Nothobranchius furzeri: one gene and its partner. The protein of the gene in region 1 purifies or fractionates together with the protein of each later gene. This does not show direct contact. Links are inferred from orthologs where the notes say so. Each region holds a gene or a part of one and is shown in the gene's direction. Other genes may lie near its edges.

Region 1 (10,858 bases):
ACATTCCCAATAAAATATGAATACACTGCTTTTAAATGTTGAATCAGCATCATAACGCATCATAATATTTCCTACTTCCCTACTGGTTTCTGAAATGAAGGCTGTCCTAAAGTTTAAAGCTCAGACCTCAGCTTTGATGTTGCAGACTTGGTCCTGCTGGCCCATGGGTTTGTGAGCTCTCTGTGCCCTGAGTTCTGCCTGCAAGGCTTTCATTCCCACTTGAGACCACTGCAAATGTATTATTAAATGAGTAATCTACCTTTAAAACCACATGCACGTTATTGTTGTTTAATATAGGGAACTTTGTGGTGTTTAATGTACCATGAGAAAAGCCTCTGTTGTCTCAAACCTGCTTTCCCATGTAAATTAGAAATGCTGTAATGGCCATGGAGAAACAGTTTGCTCTGAGAAAGTTGGTTTAACATCCAACCCACTGTGACATTGCCTGTACCAACGTTAGTCATGATAATGCCAACTGCAGCCTGAGCTACTGCTAATGCTAACCTGAGCTACCTCTGATGCCCTTGCTGGATAAGAAGAAAATAACAAAGAAGAATGTTGGAGCCAGAGTTCTCAATGGTTGACCCGAACCTGGTTACGCAAAAGGACGGGGACAACCAGTCGGTCCATTTTGGGCATTATTATGGGATTGGCCAGCTCTGACTTCTTTTCCTAAAGTGACAGAGCTCTGAAACGGCTCATTCTGGAAGGCACTGAAACTGCCAAGAATAAACTAATGAAACTGCTTTATGTGAGAGAGGTTTTTGAGCAAAGAACTTCACAAACACATTTTATGTAGGTCATGGAGCCAATATGTTTGTTAAAACGTCGTAACAGGTCTACTTTAAATGTAACCTTTGACCCTGGATGAAAACACTCACATGAGGACACAATAACTGCTGTCTCTGTCCTTCAGGCTGACTCTCACTCTTTCTTGTCCGATGGACCTGAAGAACTTCCCCATGGACAGCCAGATGTGTACTATGCAGCTGGAGAGTTGTGAGTTCATCTTCTAAAGCCATAAGAAGGACACAAACTTTGTCAGTGAACATGCTGCTCTTTGTGCACCTTTATCCACCTCTAGTTGGATACACGATGAATGACCTCATCTTTGAGTGGCTGGATGTTGGAGCAGTGCAGGTGGCTGATGACCTGATGCTCCCGCAGTTTGTGCTGAAAGAGGAGAAAGGTCTTGGCTACTGCACCAAATACTACAACACAGGTATGTGACACGGAGCCGGACGATGTCCTAAACTCTGGGTTTGTCAGCATCTGCTGACACTGTCCTCCTGTCTTCAGGCAAATTCACCTGCATCGAGGTCAAATTCTACCTGGAGCGCCAAATGGGTTACTACCTGATCCAGATGTACATACCTAGCCTGCTCACCGTCATCCTGTCCTGGGTGTCCTTCTGGATCAACATGGACGCCGCTCCGGCCAGAGTGGGGTTAGGGATCACCACTGTGCTCACAATGACGACGCAGAGCTCAGGCTCAAGGGCCTCACTGCCGAAGGTCGGACTATTTATTTAACATTCTACAGAACTACCCTTACAGAGTTTACCCTCCTAAACACATTATTTTTCTGCTTCTGTAGGTGTCCTACGTCAAAGCCATAGACATCTGGATGGCAGTGTGTCTTCTTTTCGTGTTTGCGGCGCTGCTAGAGTATGCAGCTGTTAACTTTGTTTCACGGCAGCACAAGGAGTTCTTCCGACTGAGGAAGAAGCTCAAAGAGCAGCAAAGGCTGAGGACTGTGAGTACAAGCCACCCACTCAGGCCCTCGGGCAGCTGTCACCTGCTATTGCCTGCACCCAGCTATGCAGGAGCAACAGTTCAGCTGCATGCTGCGCTCCGACTGGGAAAGGCAGCCAGCAGTGGCCTGTGGTTAATGCAAGTCACCTCACTTCACTGTTGGTAAACGTTCTTGTGTCGGATATTAGAGAACAAAGGGGAGCAGAAGTGGGCTGAGTCTACCATCTAGGAAAAATTATTTCCTAAATAAAGCATCTGTTTATTATTAAAAGTTGTGTATTCTCTTCTCTATTAGCAGGGCAGCAGTGACAGTAAGGTGAAGGGAAATAACACGCCAGGGAATACTCCGTATCATGGGAGTGTGAGCCAGCGTTGCAGCGCCTGTGCCAGGGTGTGTGCCGTCTCGCCGTTCAACCAAACAGCAGGTGGTCAAACCCCAAACTGGGTCTCAGTAAGTCTGGTTGTGTTTTCCAGGAGGAGGAGCTGGCCCATCAGGGTTTTCTCTTCCAGAGCATTGGACTCGCTCTGTCAGCAGGAACTGCACCAGAGATGGATGCAACCCCGGTCTTTGCCGACTTACCTCCTGGTTTAGGTTTTTATGAAATCCGGCGACGCTTCGTGGAACGGGCAAAAAGGATCGACACCATCTCCAGAGCTCTTTTCCCCATGAGCTTCCTCATGTTTAATGTCCTCTACTGGCTCACCTACAAGGTTCTACGACACGAGGATGTCCAGCTCACACTGTGAAGACACCCCGAGGACGGCAGACACGACTTCTCTTCACTGAAACTGACAGACTGAACGTCCCTAGATAAGATGCATTTTGACTGCATGCAGGATGCCACTGCAAAAATCTGGCTTTTATGCAACTCTGATGGTTTGTTTTCCATTTTATTTCTGCCAGACGTGCACTTTTTAAAATTTACAGTGAGTCAGAAACGATCAAATCCTTATATTCCAACTGAAACAAACAGTTATTCTCCTAAATGTCATGGTTCCAAACACATCACTGAGACATAACAGATATCACTGAGCTGCACTTACTGCTGTGTTGTTGTCACACTTTTATTTACAGGCTTGACATTTCTACTGCATAACTCTAGGAGTGAATATATCTATATTTTTAAGACATTAATATTTTATCTTACAGAAATTATCCAAGAAAAATTAAATAATAAAGTCTGAAATAACAGTGGATCTTCAGAATGTCTTTTATTTTGAAAAGACAGTGAGCCCTGAAGTAGGTTGAAAAGCCAAAGGAAAGATGTTGATTGACTGCTGTCCTGATTCATCACAAGGAGGACGCTGCAGAGGCAGCTTGGACCCATATCACAGGTTCTGAGAGGTTCTGCTGAGGAACCAACGTCTCCTTAAGGCTATGGTGCCTGTCTGCTGCAACAGGTCCACTATCACGGTCCAAAAAGAATCAGTTGCACAACCATCTAGAGTAGGAGTCTGCAACATTTACAATCCAAAAAGCCGTTTTTCTCCTCAAACTTTGTTTAGAGCTAAAAAGGAGTTTAGAGCGTTAGTGGTGGTCAGAGGGGCCGACGGCGCCAAATGGCAGCCTCGCCTCTGTCAGACCTCCCCAGGGCGGCTGTGGCTACAAGTAGCTTACCATCACTAGCAGTGTGTGAATGTGAGAGTGTGTGAAAGCGTCTTTGGGGGTTTTGAAAAGCGCTATATAAGTTCAATGCATTATTATTATTATTATTATTATTATTATTATTATTATAACAGGAAGTGTGGGTGGAGTAAGACTGGTAGTAAGGTGACTGACTTCAAACTTGCATTTTTATTTTATCCACACATTATTTCTTTATCATTTCTTAGAGGCTGACTGCTTAGTAGTGCATTACATAATATGGTTAAAGCTGTAATACTTTGAATAATAGTTTATTAAAGCTTAATAATGCACTACGTAACTTAATAAATGGATCCTTATTGTAACGTTTTACCAAATTTACATTTCATTACAACCTAACTGCTGAAAATAAATAAAGGATACAAAAAAAAATCTAATTCCTTTTTTTGTGTGAAACTTAAAGTGCTAAACAAATTACTTCCCTAAAATTTGTTGATACATCTAAAACTAAGAAATGGATTAAAATAAATACGAATGCTTTAGTACTTTTAATGTTTTAATTTTCAGTCAGAATAAGCTGTTAGTCAGAAATATTAACATGCTTTTTAGGTGCTTTACACTAAATCCACACTTCCATGAATTCCTTTCTAATCTAAAATTTCACTAAAACTTTTTCTCTGAGTTAATAAAAATATCACAGCAGAAAATGCATCTTAAACCCCTCGATATCTGCCAGAACACCGTTTTTATTTTAAAGATACTGCATGTCTGTGCCCTGGAGAGAACCCTTTCACTAAAACCTGTCGTTTAAAAAATAAAACCTGCCTTTAAATGAAGCAGTCATATGAATATTTTATGTCAAAGTAGCAGTCACGTGCACATTTTAAAGGTGAAGTAGGGCTGCACATATCAGCAAAAAGTGTCAGGCTAAAACAGGCGTGGTCTATTTTACTATAGATACTTAACTTTCACAGTTTTCAGACATCAGTTGAGACATGTTGAAAAAAGAAAGAAATGGTAGAGCTAAATTATATACGTGTGGGTTTTATTCTGAGTCCAGAGACAATGGTGAAGTTAGGTGATTCATTTGTCCTTGTGTTTCCTTTCCTGCTCTAAAGCGAGATTAGAAAATTATATGTTTAGCCGCTAGAGGGAGTCACTGGCGCGACTATTTAATTATTACAACTACCACAAGACAACAAAAATATAATAATAATAATAATAATAATAATAATAATAATAATTATTATTATTATTATTATTATTTCATAATTACCGTTGAATAAATCAAAGCAATACATAAATAATATTGATATGCTGTCTATCAAATAATCAGTGTTTTTATTCCTTAAATGTGGCTCTGTGTGATTCCAGCCAGGTAAAGCATGTAAAAATAAAAATGTGCATGATTTTACAAACACGTCAATTTTTCTTATAATAAGCTGATCATATATGCATTAGGCAGCAGCAAGAAAATTTTGTATAACGCAAATAAATTAACTGCTTTTCCATTTTTGGAGGGGGCTGGTCTCTTGTGACCCTAATGTGTCAACTAGCTGGAGACGTGGCAGCGCCTCGGGTCATATGATTTAGGCTCTTCCACGAACCCCACCCCGTTATTTCACACTCCATATATATATATATATATATATATATATATATATATATATATATATATATATATATATATATATATATATATAATTTGAAATCACTCCCGTGTTATCCTAAACTTCTACGTGTGCGCACATTTTAAAGTCTTATGAAATACTCTTTAAGCACCTAGGAGTTGATTCTAAAGGTGGGTTTCAGAGGAGTGACCACCCAAAACAGGGCCATTTTTAGACATTTTACTGCTGACGTTTACAGAGGCTTCAAATAGCTTCCGTTTGACTCTGGTAGTGATTGGACTGAGAGCTAATAACACACAGGCGGAACGCGTCCGACATTCTTCACTTCAATGGAGGAACAGCCCAAAGATCGGGCACAAGACAGGCACTACCACCACCACGGGGAGGACAGGAACTCTACTCAACGCACAGCTTGTCTGAAAAATGATCAGAGCCACTTCCAGTGCCAGCATCAGGAAACGCAGACGAAGAAAACAGGTCGGGCCGCCCTGAAAAGTCGGCTAATGTCAATGAGCCGACTAGCATTCGCTAGCTAACGTAACTGGGAGCCAGCTAGCTCCTAGCTGCTGCCCCGAATAGTTTTGAGGACGGGCGGAGCAGCTGGTTAATCAGACAGATAGTCAGCCAGTGTCACACGAGAAACCACACATTATACTCGCTATCTGCTGACGTTGCGTGAGCGTTGTCGCTGCTGGTGGTTTGACAGATCGCAGATTGACCTTGTGCGCCGGTGCCGTGCCGAAAAAAAGAACCCTTTATTAATTTTTCTAATATAAATGTAGATACTTGTGTCCTCAGCGGTCCAGAAAAACACGAGGAGGTATGTCATTTGTAACTTTTACTCGGTGTATTGGTAAAAGAACATACCTTGGGATTAGCTTTCTGCGCTAAGAGTGCTAGTGATGGCAGGGGCGCTTTTTTTCGGCACAACACCGGTTTCACCGCCTAATTTTAAATGGCTTATGTAGCTGAATATGTTCTAAAACACCGCTTATGTCCCTCTGTATTCTAAACAAAACAACTCTTCTGTAACAGTGGCCTAAATTGTACTGATGTTATTCCAGTTAGCTCTGTGCAGTGTAGGAAACCGAGCCGGCTCCGCTGGAATGTTCTGTGCAGCCATTTCCGGTCGGCCATGTCAGAATATCACAGTTAGCTAACGCAACACTAACCGGCTAGTTAGGAAAATATGGACAACAACGACACGGTGGACGTTTTTTTACGCGTCATTGTCGACCGGTACTGTGGTGTTATCGTTGTCCGCTACTAGCTAGGCGATATTAGCAGACATTAGCCATTTGACAGGCCCTTTTGAATGTTGTCTGGAGAAGCCACGCAGCTGATCAGGCTCTGTCAGCATTAAGCGAACGTAAGCTGACAGTCGCTGTAAAATGTACATTTGCTAAATGAAACTAATTGTTTTGGCTGTGACAGGAATGTGAGGTGTGTTGTGCCAATAAATGTTACTGGGGTGGAGAAGCACTGTGGAGTAGGAAGTCCCACGTTGACACAGCACTTCCCACGAATCTGAGCCTTCAGAGGCCTAGTCATGATGCTTCACTGTAAATCTGTGCTTCCTGTATCCATCCACCTTTCCTATGCGGTGTGCCATTAATACATTGTGATAATTGTAGCATAATAAGTGTTTGGCTAATCTTAAAACATCACTTTCCAAGAAACTGCAAACCATAAACGTATAGTTGTTAGATTTTGTGGTGTCTGTAGAGTCCTATCATTTCCACATCGTCTTATTTTCTTTCCTTTTTTTTTTAGGCAATAAAAAATTAAACGTTGGCGACGAGGAAGGAGAGAGGAATCTACGTCTGTCTGATCCTGTTGGTATGTCGCTTCCTTCCCACGGCAATGGTAACAAACATGCGCACAACGCCAGTCTAAAGCAAAAAGGGGCGCAGAAGCTCTACACGCCTGCTCCAAAAGCGAGCAGCAAATTTCTGGACCGTAAGAAGAATATGGACTTTAAAAATGACAAGGAAAAGACTCTGGATTTGACTCACGATGACCTCCAGAGCTTGGATAAGAAAGACTCTGTTTTGCTTCACAACGGTGTCGTAAATTGTGGCTTCATTACAAATGGCTATTCTAGCAGGGACAATGATGGCAGCGGATCCGAAGGCGGGTACACCACTCCGAAGAAACGCAAGACCAGGTGTAACAATGCCAAGAACACTGATAATGTGACAAAAGAAAAAGAGAGAGACATGCAGCCCCGCAACACTACACAGGAGCTGGGGGCTTTGAATCCTGAGGCGACTGAGAAAGGCAGATCTACCCAGTCTGCTGCCAAACGAGCTGTCGTTCCCGAGACTACAGTGGGGGAATCTCAAAGGAAAAACTCCGATGGCAAAACAGCTGGCACCTTTGGTAAGAAAACAGAGGAACGGCACAAAGGCAAACTCTCCTCTCCTTCAAAGGAGGACCCGTGGACTTTGTTCAAGCCCCCTCCCGTATTTCCTGTGGACAATAGCAGTGCTAAAATCGTTCCTAAGATCAGTTATGCAAGTAAAGTAAAAGAGAACCTCAATAAAGTAGCTCAAAGTGGAGAAGTGGTTCCTCCTCCCATGAGACTGTCTCAAGTCCCGATGTCTGCTATGAAAACTATCACCTCAGCTAGCTTTACTAATGGTCCTGTTTCTGGAAATGGAAACGGCTGCCCGTCTGCTGGCACCTTCTTCGTTCCTGCTGCTAGTTGTATTCAATCAGCCCTGTCTGTCCCAAGTGGCGAGAATGTAGCATCTTCTCTGGAAAGTAACTGTAGCTCAACAAGTCCTGTAGATGGAGACGCTAACGAGCTTAAAAAGTGTACTCTGTTAATCTACCCTTTAAATATGCAACCTGTGCTCCCTAGTGCTCGTCACCTCGACCCACCGGCTGCTAAGACAAATCAGAAAGCCCTGGGAGACATCTTCCAGAATCAGTGGGGGCTCTCTTTCATCAACGAGCCCAACCTGGGGCTGGAGGGAGGAAACGGGCATCCTCCTGCTGAGGACCAGACTTCTGGGACTTCTCCAAGTGAGAGTCAGACTGTTGAAGACAAGGTGGTCCTGCCGTGTTTTGATGTTAGCCCAATATTTGTAGAGCCTGGAACTTTGTTCAAAGACTCTGAGAGAAGGACTTGTGCCCCTTGCCAAGCGTCAAACGCTCGTTCTCCTGCTTTTGAGGAGGAGACAAAGTTCCCGCCATTTGGCCAGGACAAAACGAAGTTTGAGATCAAAGGTTCTTCTGTCTCGGCTCTTTGTAAAGACAATGGTGCTAAGCCTGTTCAGGGCCAGCAGACCACTGTGCTGTTTGGCTCTTCTAAAGAAGTGGTCCACCCGAACGACGCTAGCAGGAGGTGTAGCTGGGGGCCCTCTGACATTAAAGCTGCTGTCGCCTATCACACTAAAGGTAACGGTGTCCGCTTCTATCTGTAAAACATATTGGTGACAATATGGCGTCCTGTGAATGGGTAATAACTGGTGTGTGTGCCAACTAAACTAACCCCAGTTTGCTGTTATTTTCCAAGCTTTCCTCGTGTGACAGCCGAGTGTGTTGGTTAGATTTCCTAGAAGTTGGTTTACAGCCCGAGTGACCTTTAAACTCCAACTTCAACTAGCAACGTTTTAAACTTAAGCATGACTTTATAACATGATGGTTTTTTTTTAAAATTGCATTTGAACATTTTGTCAACTTGCCAAGTTTTTAACTAGAGGAAACCAGAGAACACACCAGAGATGCTGAATTAACACATTTCCGTTTTTCTCCCTCAAACAGAAATGGAATCCATTTTTAACGTGCAAAAACAAGGTAAATAAACCGTTTTAAGTTTGACTTTAAAACTTGCTTTGTGTTTGGGTGCCCAGCATCACTAGTCATTGGTTTTAGTGGTTTTTGTTCAGTGACGCGGTCATGAATCCCACGTGACTGTGGGAGGGATGTGATGTTGACAAACCTTTCTTCTTCTTTGCTGCAGATCCAAAAAGAGTAGTGGTTTATGATGAGACCAAGGATGGACCTGATCAGTGAGGTAGATCTACAGTTTTCTACCTGGGCCGACGAAAACAACAAAAAAAAGTAAAAATCATGTTTGATGTGGCGACAACTGTGAAAACACTGACAGCTAAGCATGATTTCCTTTGGAATCTCGGGCGTACTCAAACTTTAATTTTTTGGTGGGCATCAAACCAACGGACACTCTGGATGGACGCTAAAGACGAGTCGATCGGTGCCTCTCCACTCTGACAAATGGACAAATGCAACTTCCTAGCTGTGGTGGTCCTTGTCTCATGGCTTTTAATGGGACAGTTTTCTGGGTTTGACAAAGGAAGGTGTCCTTGACCGCACCTCCGTAAGCCTTTATCCCGTTGAACTGTGGCGGCTTTGTGGCCCAGCTGCGGGACGCCTCGGTCATGTTCGTTCTTCATGCATTCAGATGAGTTCACTGTAGATATGTTAGTCGTTCCACCTCCGTGTGCAAGCTTGAATTCATGCTGAAGGAAAGATCTGTAAAAAAAAAAAAAAAACAGCCTTTATGTTGTGGAATAAAGGTGTCGGGAGTTCCGCTGAGACGGAAGCCTGTGAGGCTCCATGCAGGAAAAAGGAGAACTTTGTCTTAAAAATCCTTTACAGGAGAAACTACGCAGAGCCCAGAAGTTTTATATGTATTACCGCTCCTTTTTATGCTGTTTTCAACGGAACTAACCCGAATATAATTTGCTGTATGACCCGCCACCCCCACCCCACCCAGCTCAGATAGTGATGGGTTTAAAGGAAAGCTCCGCCCCTTTAACATCAGGTGTGCTTATGACACCACCAGGTCTCTGTTAAATTCAGAAGTTTTGAAACATTTCACACAGACGGTCGTCGGATATTCACAGGCTGTTGTCAAATTCCGGTTCTGGGTTTCGGAACGGCCCGGGACAAGAACCACTCACTTCTGAGCTGTTCTCCATTCTCTGCTTCTAATTCAGCTGCAACGCTCAGGATCTCTCAACACTTCATCTGGTCCGCATTCGTTTTCAGCTCTTGTTTATGGAAACCGTTTTTGTTTACAGGTGTAAATGAGTCACTGTTCATCACAACAGTAACACAACTATTGCAATATGAACCTCGGGTCCCCAGCTCGCCACTTTGTGTTGAAATGTGAAGACGGGTGGTGTCAAACCTTTTGCTGTGGATTAACCTGTTAGTGTGCAATAACATCATAAATGTGTTATGCGGAGCTACAAAACGTCCTGAGATGCTCGTGTAGCCTGCAGTTTAGTTTAGGTTATTATTTTTAGTGCATCCTCACTTTGTTGCACAGTTTCCTCGCTCCTTCCTCTTCTATTTGTCTCCAGGTCTCGTTAAATCTAGGGAATAACTTGGAGATCCCAAATTATCCCAACTGCCTCCCGGTTGGCGGCAACATTGTTTTAATCCTTAAGAGCGGATACGTATTTTTCAGCCTCTCCAAGAAACGGTCCTGAATTCTGTTCTGATCTGGCTAACGTGTGGATTACTGGCACTTTATGTAAACAGATGACCTTTATCTTAAATGCTATAGAAATCTATGAAAGAATGGCTCTGCGCTGTTACTTAAAACATAAAAACGTTGCTAAACACAGAATTACTAAACGAAACTCAGGTAGTGTCGATAAGCCATGGATATACTGATTATTGTGTTTTGCCAAACGGCCCCTGTCCTGTAACGGTCTCTTGTTGGAAACACGGAGTCGGAGACGCACGACGTTCGGAAAACGCACCAAAAAGAATCTTTGGATGAAAGTTTTTTTTTTGGCCTAAATAGTTTTCTTTTCTTTGAGAAAGCACAACATGTTTTCTGTATCTTTAACCGTGTTCTCGCCATCTTTGCTGGTTTCTTTTCGTGTGTGTGTGTGTGTGTGTGTTGG
Region 2 (10,947 bases), on another chromosome or scaffold:
TTCACGTGGTAAAGTCCCATGGATGAAAAAGCCAGCGACAAAGCTCTTGGAGCCCACGGGAGGGACCAGCCATTAGGCTTCCAGTACTCAGCCAGACCCAGACCCAGAAGAGCCCCACAGTCTCGAGTCAAAGAGGAGAACGGGGCTGTGTCCAGACGGATCCACTCTGCGTGACTGCACCACTTCTTAGCCAAAGCAATAGACCTGTTTTAAAAAGTCTGTTCAGCGGGATAGCTCTCATTAAAGCACGAAGATTACTATAAAGAAAACAAGACTCACCAAGAGAGGTCAATTCCAATCTGCTGCAATCCCACATTGACCATCAGAGCACTGAGCAGGAGGCTGAAGCTGAAGCTGAAGTAGAACAGCAGGGGGCGACCTTCTGGTACTCTACCACTCAGGACAATACCCAAAATAAACCCTGGCAGCAATCAGATGTAAAAGACACATTACTGACTTTGTACTCCTCAGACACAAATAGCTTCAATGAAATCATACTATAAAGAACAACATCTGCAAAGTGTCTGTTAATGCTTTTGGGTTTATTTGGCAGAAAGGAATACAATACCACAGCCAAAAGCCATCTATGTGCTCACTTATATGAAGATGACGATGCACACAGACCTGTAATGCAACCAGCAATAACCTGGTGAGGAAAATGAGCAAGGATGAAGATCCTGGATGTTCCAACTGCAACCAGCAGAGCCACATAAAGCAGGAAGGGAGCAGACGATATCAGCACACTGAAGGCAACAGGCCAGGGATACTTGTTAAAAACATCTCTAATATTCCACAGTTCCTGCCTGTTTTACAGCCAAAACAACACACTTGCTTTACTTTATTTACCTGCGAGTACGGGAGTACAGAAATGACCCCAGCGAGGATGCAACAACCCACCAGACTGCTGCTGTCACCATTGCATGTCCTGATGGACTTCCTGAGAGACAGACGCCAACTTTTCATGAGTGCCATCTGTGACTCATATGTGTCTCGTTTGTCTTGAAGGACCTCTCACCTGGGCCGGTTTCACAGGTGGATGGGAACTGGTGAATTCTGGGTGGCATGCTGACATATAAATGAGATTCACCTATCCACCAGAATGGTCTTTCCCCAAACAGCATCCTGGAAAAGTAAAAGGACACAAAGTACTATAAATATGTCTGTTGATCTTGTTCAAAAATACAATTAATTCCATTTTACAATGTTCAAAACCTAAAGAACTCTGCGTGAAAATATATTAAATTCTTATTTCATTTTAAATCTATTATCAGAAGATACGTATAAATGTTTGTGACTAAGATTGAAAGGAACTGGTTACATTACTCAGTTACATTTGCTTGAGTAAATTTCTTTTTACATTACTATTTCTAGAAGTTTATCAATATATACGTTTTCATGAGTAACATTATTACGTACCGCTACTCTTACTTGAGTAGCTCTAGTTACCCAGAAATGCAGAACACATGCACGCAGGCACGCAGGCACGCACGCACACACGCACACACACACACACACACACAGGGATTTAAATCTACTGAGCCTATATTACCTGCTGAAGGTCAGGTGAGTCCGCAGTAAATAGTATACACGTTATCTAGTGGAAGAATTGGTTTCTAAAGCTTTGTGAATAACAACAATAAGAAACGAGTTTCTTCTGCCTTAATTTGTTATTTTATAATTTCACAATTTATTTTGAATTATTTATGTTTGTTTTTCGAGCCACACAATTTTGCCTGAAAAGAACGGCAAATAATTGTAATTTTGCTCGATGTGTGTTAAAACGTTCCGCTTTTCCTGGTTTCACCACGGACAACATAAACAATAGGACTGCAGTGTTGTCCCTGATGCCGCAACGTCTAACAAATCCCAAAAATTTCAAAATAGAAGCTGATAAATTATATATTGAGACAAATATAATTGATTCACATATAGCACTAACACAAGCATGCGCTAACGTGTTGAAACTTTCCACGACAATTGATTTTTTAAGCCTTACCATTTAAACACCAGGTTTAACCACTCCGATATAGCTGCGATCCAGAGCACCGCCACTCCAGCGCGTTTATCTAGAAAATACGTGAATGGAAAGACGAGCAGGAAGGCTGCTTTAGGGTCTCCTAAGTGAGTGATCACGAGCCAACATTGTTCGAGACTCTTTGTCTGTTGCTGGAGAGTTTCAGCGACCCAAATGCCCTGTGTGTAGACGGACTCCATTTTAACGAACCCCCTCTAAAGTATCTAAAAGCAGTTGAACCTCAAAACATGTAGCTAATTGTCGGATGATGAAATCTAGGATGAGATGCTGAAAATGTTGCACTACTAGTTTATTTCCAGCAGGAGGAGCTGTTTTACGTTGGGTTTCTTTCTTTCGTGGAACCGAGCGTTACGTCGAGATATGTCACTCAGTGTTCCAATATTAGTTCTAAGTAGATAGAAGATAAAATATGTTATTTTAAAAATTTAAGACCAGAAAATTTTATAATTCATTCATGTAAACCTGAAGTGAATGTGGTATTTCAAGAAATATTTAAAGATTTTACAACTAAATTCTTCATATTCGGAGGCTCCTATTAAGACAAAAGAAAGGATTTTATTAAACAACCTGACTGTGTATTTAAATAACACTATGCATAAAAAATCATAATAGAACAATTGAAGTAATAAAAAGATGGCCTCATGTCAAGATAGGTTGACAACAATAGGATATTTATATGAATCTTTCTGGGAAGATCTAATCACATTTATTTGAGGTGAAAATTTGAACATAGAAAGATTCATTAACATTTAATAAAGCAAGACCCTTACCCTAATCCATCCATTTTCCTCCGCTGATCCAGGGTTGGGTCACAATTGGGCCAGTTCCTCTGGGGGAATCCCAAAGAATTCCCTGGACAGACAAGAAATCAGTTATCAAGTTGAACATGCCTGGAAACCCTCACCAGGGAGGTGTCCAGGAGGCATCCTAACAAGATGTCTGAGCCACTTCACCTCGATGAGGAGGAGCAGCGGATCTACTCCAAGCCCCACCCTGTTGTCCTGGGGGGAATTGCTTAGCAAGATTCCCCAGGAGACAGAGAAGTCTGAAGGCAAAACAACAATGATGTTGTGAACCTGGGTGTCTGTGTGTATTTGTTAGCGGCTCCGCCCTCTTGGTCTGCCAGGCAACAGCAACAGGAAGAGGGAGTAGAGTAAGACTCTGGTAGGGGGCGACTTGCCCTTTAATTATTATTCATCATCAAATGTTTCCTTATTACTAGAAATATTAGTTTGAGGTAAAACTTAACTATGAGGAACAAAGCTGTGCTTATCCTTAGAATAATTAATCAGCGCCAACAACATTTGAAAACAGTTTGATGAACACATTTTCCCTTTTATCCACATTTTTTATTGAAAGTAATTAGTACATTTTTGCACATTTACAAAAAAGAATATATGTAGATACAGTTTTGATTCCTTTTGTATTTTCCACATAATAAAATAGTTAATAAGGGAGGGAGCTGGGGGGGAACTTGTTGGAGTTAACATACTAGGTCCCAGAAAAATGATTTACATAACAAAACTTTGTAACAAATTAACATACATTATGAATTATTCCTGAAACCAGACATAATTAGATGCGTGTTTAGGATGTTGTTTTACTGCTGCTGTGGTATGGTCAAATCAGGGAAGTGACGCATTAGTCAGTGTTCGCTGTAAACCTTTGCTCTAAATGACTGATGTGTTTTGTTTTAAATAACGCCTCTTTCTTTAAATCTGTATGATCCGTAAATCGCCTGACGTACTGTGTGGGGTAAGGGTAATATATTCAAAGAACATTTGAGGTAAAGTATGCGTAATATTTGTCAATGACCTTAACTCGGCGTACGAGGGCACGCCCAGATTCGTCTTCCTACGCCACCACGTTGCTTTACGTAAGGCAGGCGCTCCGGTTTCCTGGCGGAGAAGATGGCGGCTCCTGGACCGGGGGAGTATTTCAGCGTCGGGAGCCATGTCTCCTGCCTCACCTGCTTGGGCCAACGGCTACAAGGAGAAGTGGTCGCTTTTGATTACCAGTCCAAGATGTTAACCCTGAGTATCCTTTGTTTGTTTCTCGCTGCGGACGGATGGCTGGCTGGCCTGCCTGGCTGCACAGGCCTGTAGGGTAACCGAAAATATGTCAAATAGTGATCCGCGCAGGCGTAATTGGTGGGAGCTGAGTTACACATCTTTGTCCGTTTTAAGTTATTTCATTTTCCGAAGTAGTTGTCCATTTTTTTGTGAAATTAAGTCATCATTTGCGTTTTCTTGGTGTTTTAATGCGCCTGCTCGGACGTACATGTGTTTTGAATCCACTCATTGTATTGGCAGCTCTCGACATGGATCACTATTTGGCATCATGGCTGTGTGCTCTCAACAGTTAGCAGGCTAACTGACATTCAGCGCATCTCGCTCTGACTTGTGTCCGCACGTGTATCTCACACAGTCTTCACCCACAGATGCCAGCGCTCGCTTTAATGAGTTCGTTTTATTTTCTACGACACCCATCGGAGCTACAGGGGAAGGGCTGCTAGCTCGGCTAACATGCTAACTTTCGTACAAACCATTCCACCCATATTCTGCTCGGAAGCTATGTTAACGCTAGTACGCATCTAAGGTGTGTTAGCCTGTTTTTATTGCGAGTTTATCACGATTTTATTTTCTTGTGACACAAATTAATTACAGCTAATCACGATTCATTTGGGTTAGCATGCTGAGCTGATCACAACTAACCTTAGCTTGTCTGTGAGCATGCTTCCATCCCTTCATGGGAGGAGGATATAGGTGTATGATAAAATGTAGTCATTTGATTAGAGGCTAATTTAAAATTAAAATAATACGCTAAACTTCTGGTGTAGTGACAGTCTACGTGACCGAACTGGCATATGACTCAAGAGGGTTAAAAAAAGAATGAATGGGTTTGACAGTGAGGGCGTTCTGTGTCTAAAACATAACTACGTCACTCATTTAATGTATAATTTCCCCCAAGCAAAATTGGATGTATGATTTTTCTAAATTAAAGGCTTCAAAATGTTTCTAGCTATAAAAAGATGATTGAAATCTTTAAGTATCTGTTGGAAGTGGGGATGTTTGAACAGATGGACCCAAGTTCTGCTCTGAGGTCTGGCAAAACTGGACCTTCTGTAATTTTCACAGGTTATAGCGTCACCAGGTAACTTGTGAATATATTTACATACAATACAGTTCCATCTGTTGATTTCATCATAAAGTACTAAATGTACTAAAACATGTTTTGACACTTCTCATAAAGGTTCCCATTTGGATGTTCATAATTTAGACCGGTAGTGACATTTAAATGGTTTTAGTGAATCTGTCAGCATTTTTGTGACAAATTCAGTACAGTGAAACTACAAACATGATGTTAAAAGCTAATTGTGTTTTTGGTGTTCATGTCAAATGTCCAGATTTTCTCTATTGTGGGTCAGTGTGCCAAAAATATCGTGGAATAAACCCCAAAAAGAGACTTGTTTTAGAAACTTCCTGACAATCTTGCCTCTTGTTAACCAAAGTGAAAGAAAGGATCATGTGTTGAAACTGTCGATGCTTTTCTGTTTCCACTTTCAATATGTTCTCGTGTTTGTTTGCTTCTATCGGCATCCCCTAAATACTTCGGCTTGCCATACAGCCGTTCATTCCAGGGTGAAATGCATCAGGATTTAAATGTGCATTTAGATTAAAACCCTCAGTTTGAATAAATAAATGAGTATTTTATCAGTGGAATTAGATTTTAAGATGAGTGATTTGTTGGAAACATTCCAACAGAAAAACAGATTCAACACGCTGCAAGTTTAATCAAATATTAATCTGAGAAAGAAGACATTTGTGGCTGTGTGCAGGCTGTCTAATTCCTATTCCTTCATTCATGTGTTGCTGCTGTAGGTGGCAGCACTGCCCTCAGCAGTCACACGCTGTAACTGGCACCACCTTTCACTGTCTGGTTATCAGCCACAGCTCCTATCAGAATGCAGATGGTGTTCGAGTTCCTCGGGGTCAGATAACAATAGTAATTTTGTTCTTCAAGTCAGTGTCGTGAAATTTTCTGCCTTAACTTGTGTCTTTAAAGAATGCGCTTCCTCCAGTGGTAAGTCAAACCTCAACGACGTCATCCTGATCAACTTAGCCTATGTATCTGAAGTGGACATAATAAATGACCGGACTGAGACTCCACCTCCACTAGCATCTCTGAATGTTGGCAAGGTGAGTTTGTCTCATTTCTGCTGCTTTTGCCATTAGAACAATGTTGTGATACATTTGAACTCAACGTTCAGCTGTGATGTGTCACAAACAGGATCCATCGATTCTAAGATCCTTATTTATTCTAACTTCAAAAGCCCGTACAGCGTGGCTCTTGTACGTTTGTGGTGCATTTAAATGGACAAAGTGGCACATATCCTGCCCCTCATTAACATAAAGGTGAGGTCTGGGTTTGTAAGGTGCGACTGGCGCAGATGTGTGACCTCAGAAAACCACTACACAGATAAATGTGTTTATTTTCCTTTGAAAGGTGCCTCATTTTAACAGTATCACAAAAATTTCTAACAATTCTCTTGAAATGCTTTATTATATTGGTCCGATTATAATATCGTTTTGGTTAGCCTATAGCAAAGGGAATGCTGCATGTTCCTGTAGCTGTGACAACATACCTAAATGATCTTACGGTGCACTTTGGTGATTTTCTACGGCAACTGTTCCCAAGCTTTTCAGCTTCAAACTAATAAAGTACAAAAGCCTACAGACATCTCTGATTAAAAATAAATAAAATTGGCAAAAAGAAAACCACTTTAGCTCCATTCCCTTATATACATTTTCGACAAATTGGTTGTCTTTTTAACAATTACGCTAGAAATGTAGCTTCAGCAGTTGTTTTTGTTTATTGGAAATCATCTCAAGGCCTCCTGTGTGGTTATGGACCAACAGAGGGGTCCTGACTAGAGGTCGACCGATATTTGTTTTATAATTGAATTAATGTGAATTTTAATTTATTCAGTCAAAAAAAACATAATATATTCAATAAAACATTACATTACATTTAACGTGACTAAAAAGGCTCAGGCCAAAGCAAAAATGCTTATATTTATGCCTGTCCTTTTTAACCAATTAAACAAATGAATCTACCCCTTTAACACAAATCTACAATTTAAGCAACATTAGAAAAGAATAAGAGAAATATACACCATTTAGTCAAATAAGTTCACACAATACTCTTACATTTACAACACAACTTATAAACTCTTGAAACCGTCAAAAATGATCTTCAAAACCATTCTTTTAAACAACAAAAATGTACCACAAGTTCTTACATTTACACTGGCATTCTATAGTTTAGCCCCCACCACAGATATACATTTCCTTTTTGACTTCTTTTTTTGCCAAAGGAACAGTAAATTTATTAATATCGCTAAAATCATACTTAGTTTCTACACAAAAAAAACTTGATTGCTTTGTGGAAGTAACTTTAATTTAGTTTTATACATTATTTGCATTATTTTATGTTATACTAAATCATAAAATTTCATAACGTGATTTTAAATACAACAGATGTGTATGTGCCAAATAATCTGCCTTGTTGATAATACACATTGCACGTTTTTGTAAGAACTATTGAACTAACTAACGTTTGATTAGTCAGTCCCCAGACTTCTCTACACACTATGAAATGTAAGGTGGTAGGAGTGAACAATAAATGATATGTAAAGCTGCATAATTCAACATATGTCTTGATTTGTACAGTACTGCTACAGGGAGTGCAGAATTTTTAAGCAAGTTGTATTTTTGAGGAATAATTTTATTATTGAACAACAACCATGTTCTCAATGAACCCAAAAAGCTCATTAATATCAAAGCAGAATGTTTTTGGAAGTAGTTTTTAGTTTTAGCTATTTTAGGGGGATATCTGTGTGTGCAGGTGACTATTACTGTGTATAATTATTAGGCAACTTAACAAAAAACAAATGTATACCCATTTCAATAAATTTTTACTAGTGAAACCAATATAACATCCCCACATTCACAAGTATACATTTCTGACATTCCAAAACAATACAAAAACAAATCAGCGACCAATATAGCCACCTTTCTTTGCAAGGACACTCAAAAGCCTGCCATCCATGGATTCTGTCAGTGTTTTGATCTGTTCACCATCAACATTGCGTGCAGCAGCAACCACAGCCTCCCAGACACTGTTCAGAGAGGTGTACCGTTTTCCCTCCTTGTAAATCTCACATTTGATGATGGACCACAGGTTCTCAATGGGGTTCAGATCAGGTGAACAAGGAGGCCATGTCAGTAGTTTTTCTTCTTTTATACCCTGTCTTGCCAGCCACGCTGTGGAGTACTTGGACGCGAGTGATGGAGCATTGTCCTGCATGAAAATCATGTTTTTCTTGAAGGATGCAGACTTCTTCCTGTACCACTGCTTGAAGAAGGTGTCTTCCAGAAACTGGCAGTAGGACTGGGAGTTGAGCTCGACTCCATCCTCAACCTGAAAAGGCCCCACAAGCTCATCTTTGATGATACCAGCCCAAACTAGTACTCCACCTCCACCTTGCTGGCGTCTGAGTCGGACTGGAGCTCTCTGCCCTTTACCAATCCAGCCCCGGGCCCATCCATCTGGCCCATCAAGACTCACTCTCATTTCATCAGTCCATAAAACCTTAGAAAAATCAGTCTTGAGATATTTCTTGGCCCAGTCTTGAAGTTTCAGCTTGTGTGTCTTGTTCAGTGGTGGTCGTCTTTCAGCCTTTCTTACCTTGGCCATGTCTCTGAGTATTGCACACCTTGTGCTTTTGGGCACTCCAGTGATGTTGCAGCTCTGAAATATGGCCAAACTGGAGGCAAGTGGCATCTTGGCAGCTGCACGCTTGACTTTTCTCAGTTCATGGGCAGTTATTTGGCACCTTGGTTTTTCCACACGCTTCTTGCGACCCTGTTGACTATTTTGAATGAAACACTTGATTGTTCGATGATCACGCTTCAGAAGCTTTGCAGTTTTAAGACTGCTGTATCCCTTTGCAAGGTATCTCACTATTTTTGACTTTTCTGAGCCTTTCAAGTCCTTCTTTTGACCCATTTTGCCAAAGGACAGGAAGTTGCCTAATAATTCTGCACTCCCTGTATAATCTTAAAGTTTTCCTTTAGTGTAAAACACATGCTGTCTCCATTTCATTTTATGCTCAATAAACATTTTTATTGTCGATGCCGATAGACACGGTCAACCGATGGCCGATATGTACTGCTTAGGGATGCACGTTTTCCAAAGTTTCTTTAACCGGTTATTGATGCCCCATAACAGTTAATTGCCGGTTAACCGGATGTAAATTAACGTAATGTGTAAATGTTAACTGGTGTCAAAGTCAAATTGCAGTCCAGAGTTCAGTGTCTCCTGGAGTCCTCGACACAAAAGCATCCCAAACATAAATTATGTCAATGCTGAAAACATTTTTCTGGTTTAAGGCTGTCCGAGTAAAATCAATGTAAGAAGAATGTTTTTGTTGTTCTGTTCATGTTTCCACAGCTTGCCAATCGAGCACGGACAGAAAAGGAAGACAAGCTGTCCCAAGCCTATGCAATCAGTGCTGGGGTTTCTCTGGAGGGCCAGCAGCTATTCCAGACTATTCACAAAACGTAAGAGCGTCCCACAGGCTTTGGTCAGACCACTCACATCAGCTGGGTCATGTGTCCACTTCAGTCATTCTAATATAAACTTGTGTTCCATCACTTTGTGAATCCCGTAGTTTACTGTTGTCATAAAAGTTTTACCTAAAAGGTTGTTTTGAATCCATTTGGTCTATTTTCTAAATGATGTGAAACAGTTTTATTTTGAAGTCCTGGTTTTCCAACACTCACCCCCACATCAGAGGTCAGGTCTTACTTAAAGCTGTTTTATAAGAAACAATGTGACTGTAGATCATCCAAGTCCAAATAAGGCCATGCTGCTTTCTCTTTGCAGCATCAAAGACTGTAAATGGCAGGAGAAGAACATTATTGTGATGGACGATGTCGTTATCTCACCGCCTTACCAGGTTGAGAACTGCAGAGGCAAAGAGGGAAGCGCTTTAAGTCACGTACGCAAAATAGTAAGTTTTCTTCATCGCTACACAAGCTGTTTCGAACATCTGTTTTCAGGGTGTCCGCGGGTCCTTAAAGTCTTAAAACGTCTTAAATTAGCTTTTCCAAATTTAAGGCCTTAAAAATCCTTAAAAATGACAAATAATCCTTAAATACAGTTTCCAAAGGTCTTAAATTACCAAAGACCCAATAAACAAGATTCTTTTAATTCTATAAAATTTTCATAAATTTCTAGTTAGTGTTCAGCATTTTTTGTGTATGATATTGGCGTGAGCGGAGCCGTACGCATTCAGTTGGTTGTGAAAGGGGGCTTTTTTAGATGAGCACATTAGCTGGTTAAGCTAGTGGGAGATTGCGCCATGGGGAAGTGCAAGTTTAATGGTAACTGGATGGCTAATCCCACGTTTGCGACGTGGTTAGCACCGGTTCCAGTCAATAGCTGGAAATTATAGTTTAAATTTAATTTAAAAAATTAGCTTAAATTTGGTCAAAGTGGCCTTAAAAAAAGGTCTTAAAAAGTCTTACATTTGGCTCCCTTAAGCCTGCAGATACCCTGGTTTTACATAATTCTAGTTGTTTAGTCTGTGAAATATTCTTTGAATCCTAAAGACCTTTTTTCAAGGGATTGAAAAAAAAGATTTTGTGTTTCAGAGAGGGCGTTTAAAAAGTGAAAGTGGGATTTGGTCGTCTGACTCTGAATCCCTCCAGTCTCCTGTTTCTGCTGCAGAAGGCAGAAACCTCCACTATGGCTTAACTGACAGATGTTTCCCTGATTTATTTTGTCCCTGGGCTCAGTTTAATGCACCAGCAGAACGGGCTGCACAAGGAAATGTGGAAACCTTT

The links. Proteins that work in one complex are often made in the same cells at the same time.
Region 2: the proteins of nufip2 (region 1) and lsm12b purify together in Homo sapiens (affinity purification with mass spectrometry; 3 studies listed by BioGRID and IntAct, counting the BioPlex papers as one, with this or other methods). This does not show direct contact. The link is inferred for Nothobranchius furzeri from reciprocal best matches to the Homo sapiens genes NUFIP2 and LSM12.

Annotation. Positions count from the first base shown.
Region 1 is NC_091750.1:49,398,504-49,409,361, forward strand, and holds nufip2 (FMR1-interacting protein NUFIP2), read left to right. Parts: upstream 1-5,203; 5' UTR 5,204-5,299; coding exon 5,300-5,447; intron 5,448-5,654; exon of another isoform or gene 5,655-5,790; intron 5,791-6,203; exon of another isoform or gene 6,204-6,339; intron 6,340-6,743; coding exon 6,744-8,375; intron 8,376-8,741; coding exon 8,742-8,774; intron 8,775-8,940; coding exon 8,941-8,993; 3' UTR 8,994-9,490; downstream 9,491-10,858. Other genes in the region: glycine receptor subunit alpha-2, read left to right, coding at 917-999, 1,085-1,222, 1,300-1,514, 1,597-1,755, 2,050-2,145, 2,229-2,501. UniProt on the Homo sapiens protein: Binds RNA.
Region 2 is NC_091756.1:47,419,287-47,430,233, reverse strand, and holds the start of lsm12b (protein LSM12 homolog A), read left to right. Parts: upstream 1-3,792; 5' UTR 3,793-3,945; coding exon 3,946-4,072; intron 4,073-6,100; coding exon 6,101-6,234; intron 6,235-9,550; coding exon 9,551-9,660; intron 9,661-9,985; coding exon 9,986-10,112; intron 10,113-10,947. Other genes in the region: g6pc3 (glucose-6-phosphatase 3), read right to left, coding at 1-204, 280-421, 625-743, 847-937, 1,016-1,122, 1,997-2,214. UniProt on the Homo sapiens protein: Nicotinic acid adenine dinucleotide phosphate (NAADP) binding protein. Confers NAADP sensitivity to the two pore channel complex (TPCs) by acting as TPC accessory protein necessary for NAADP-evoked Ca(2+) release.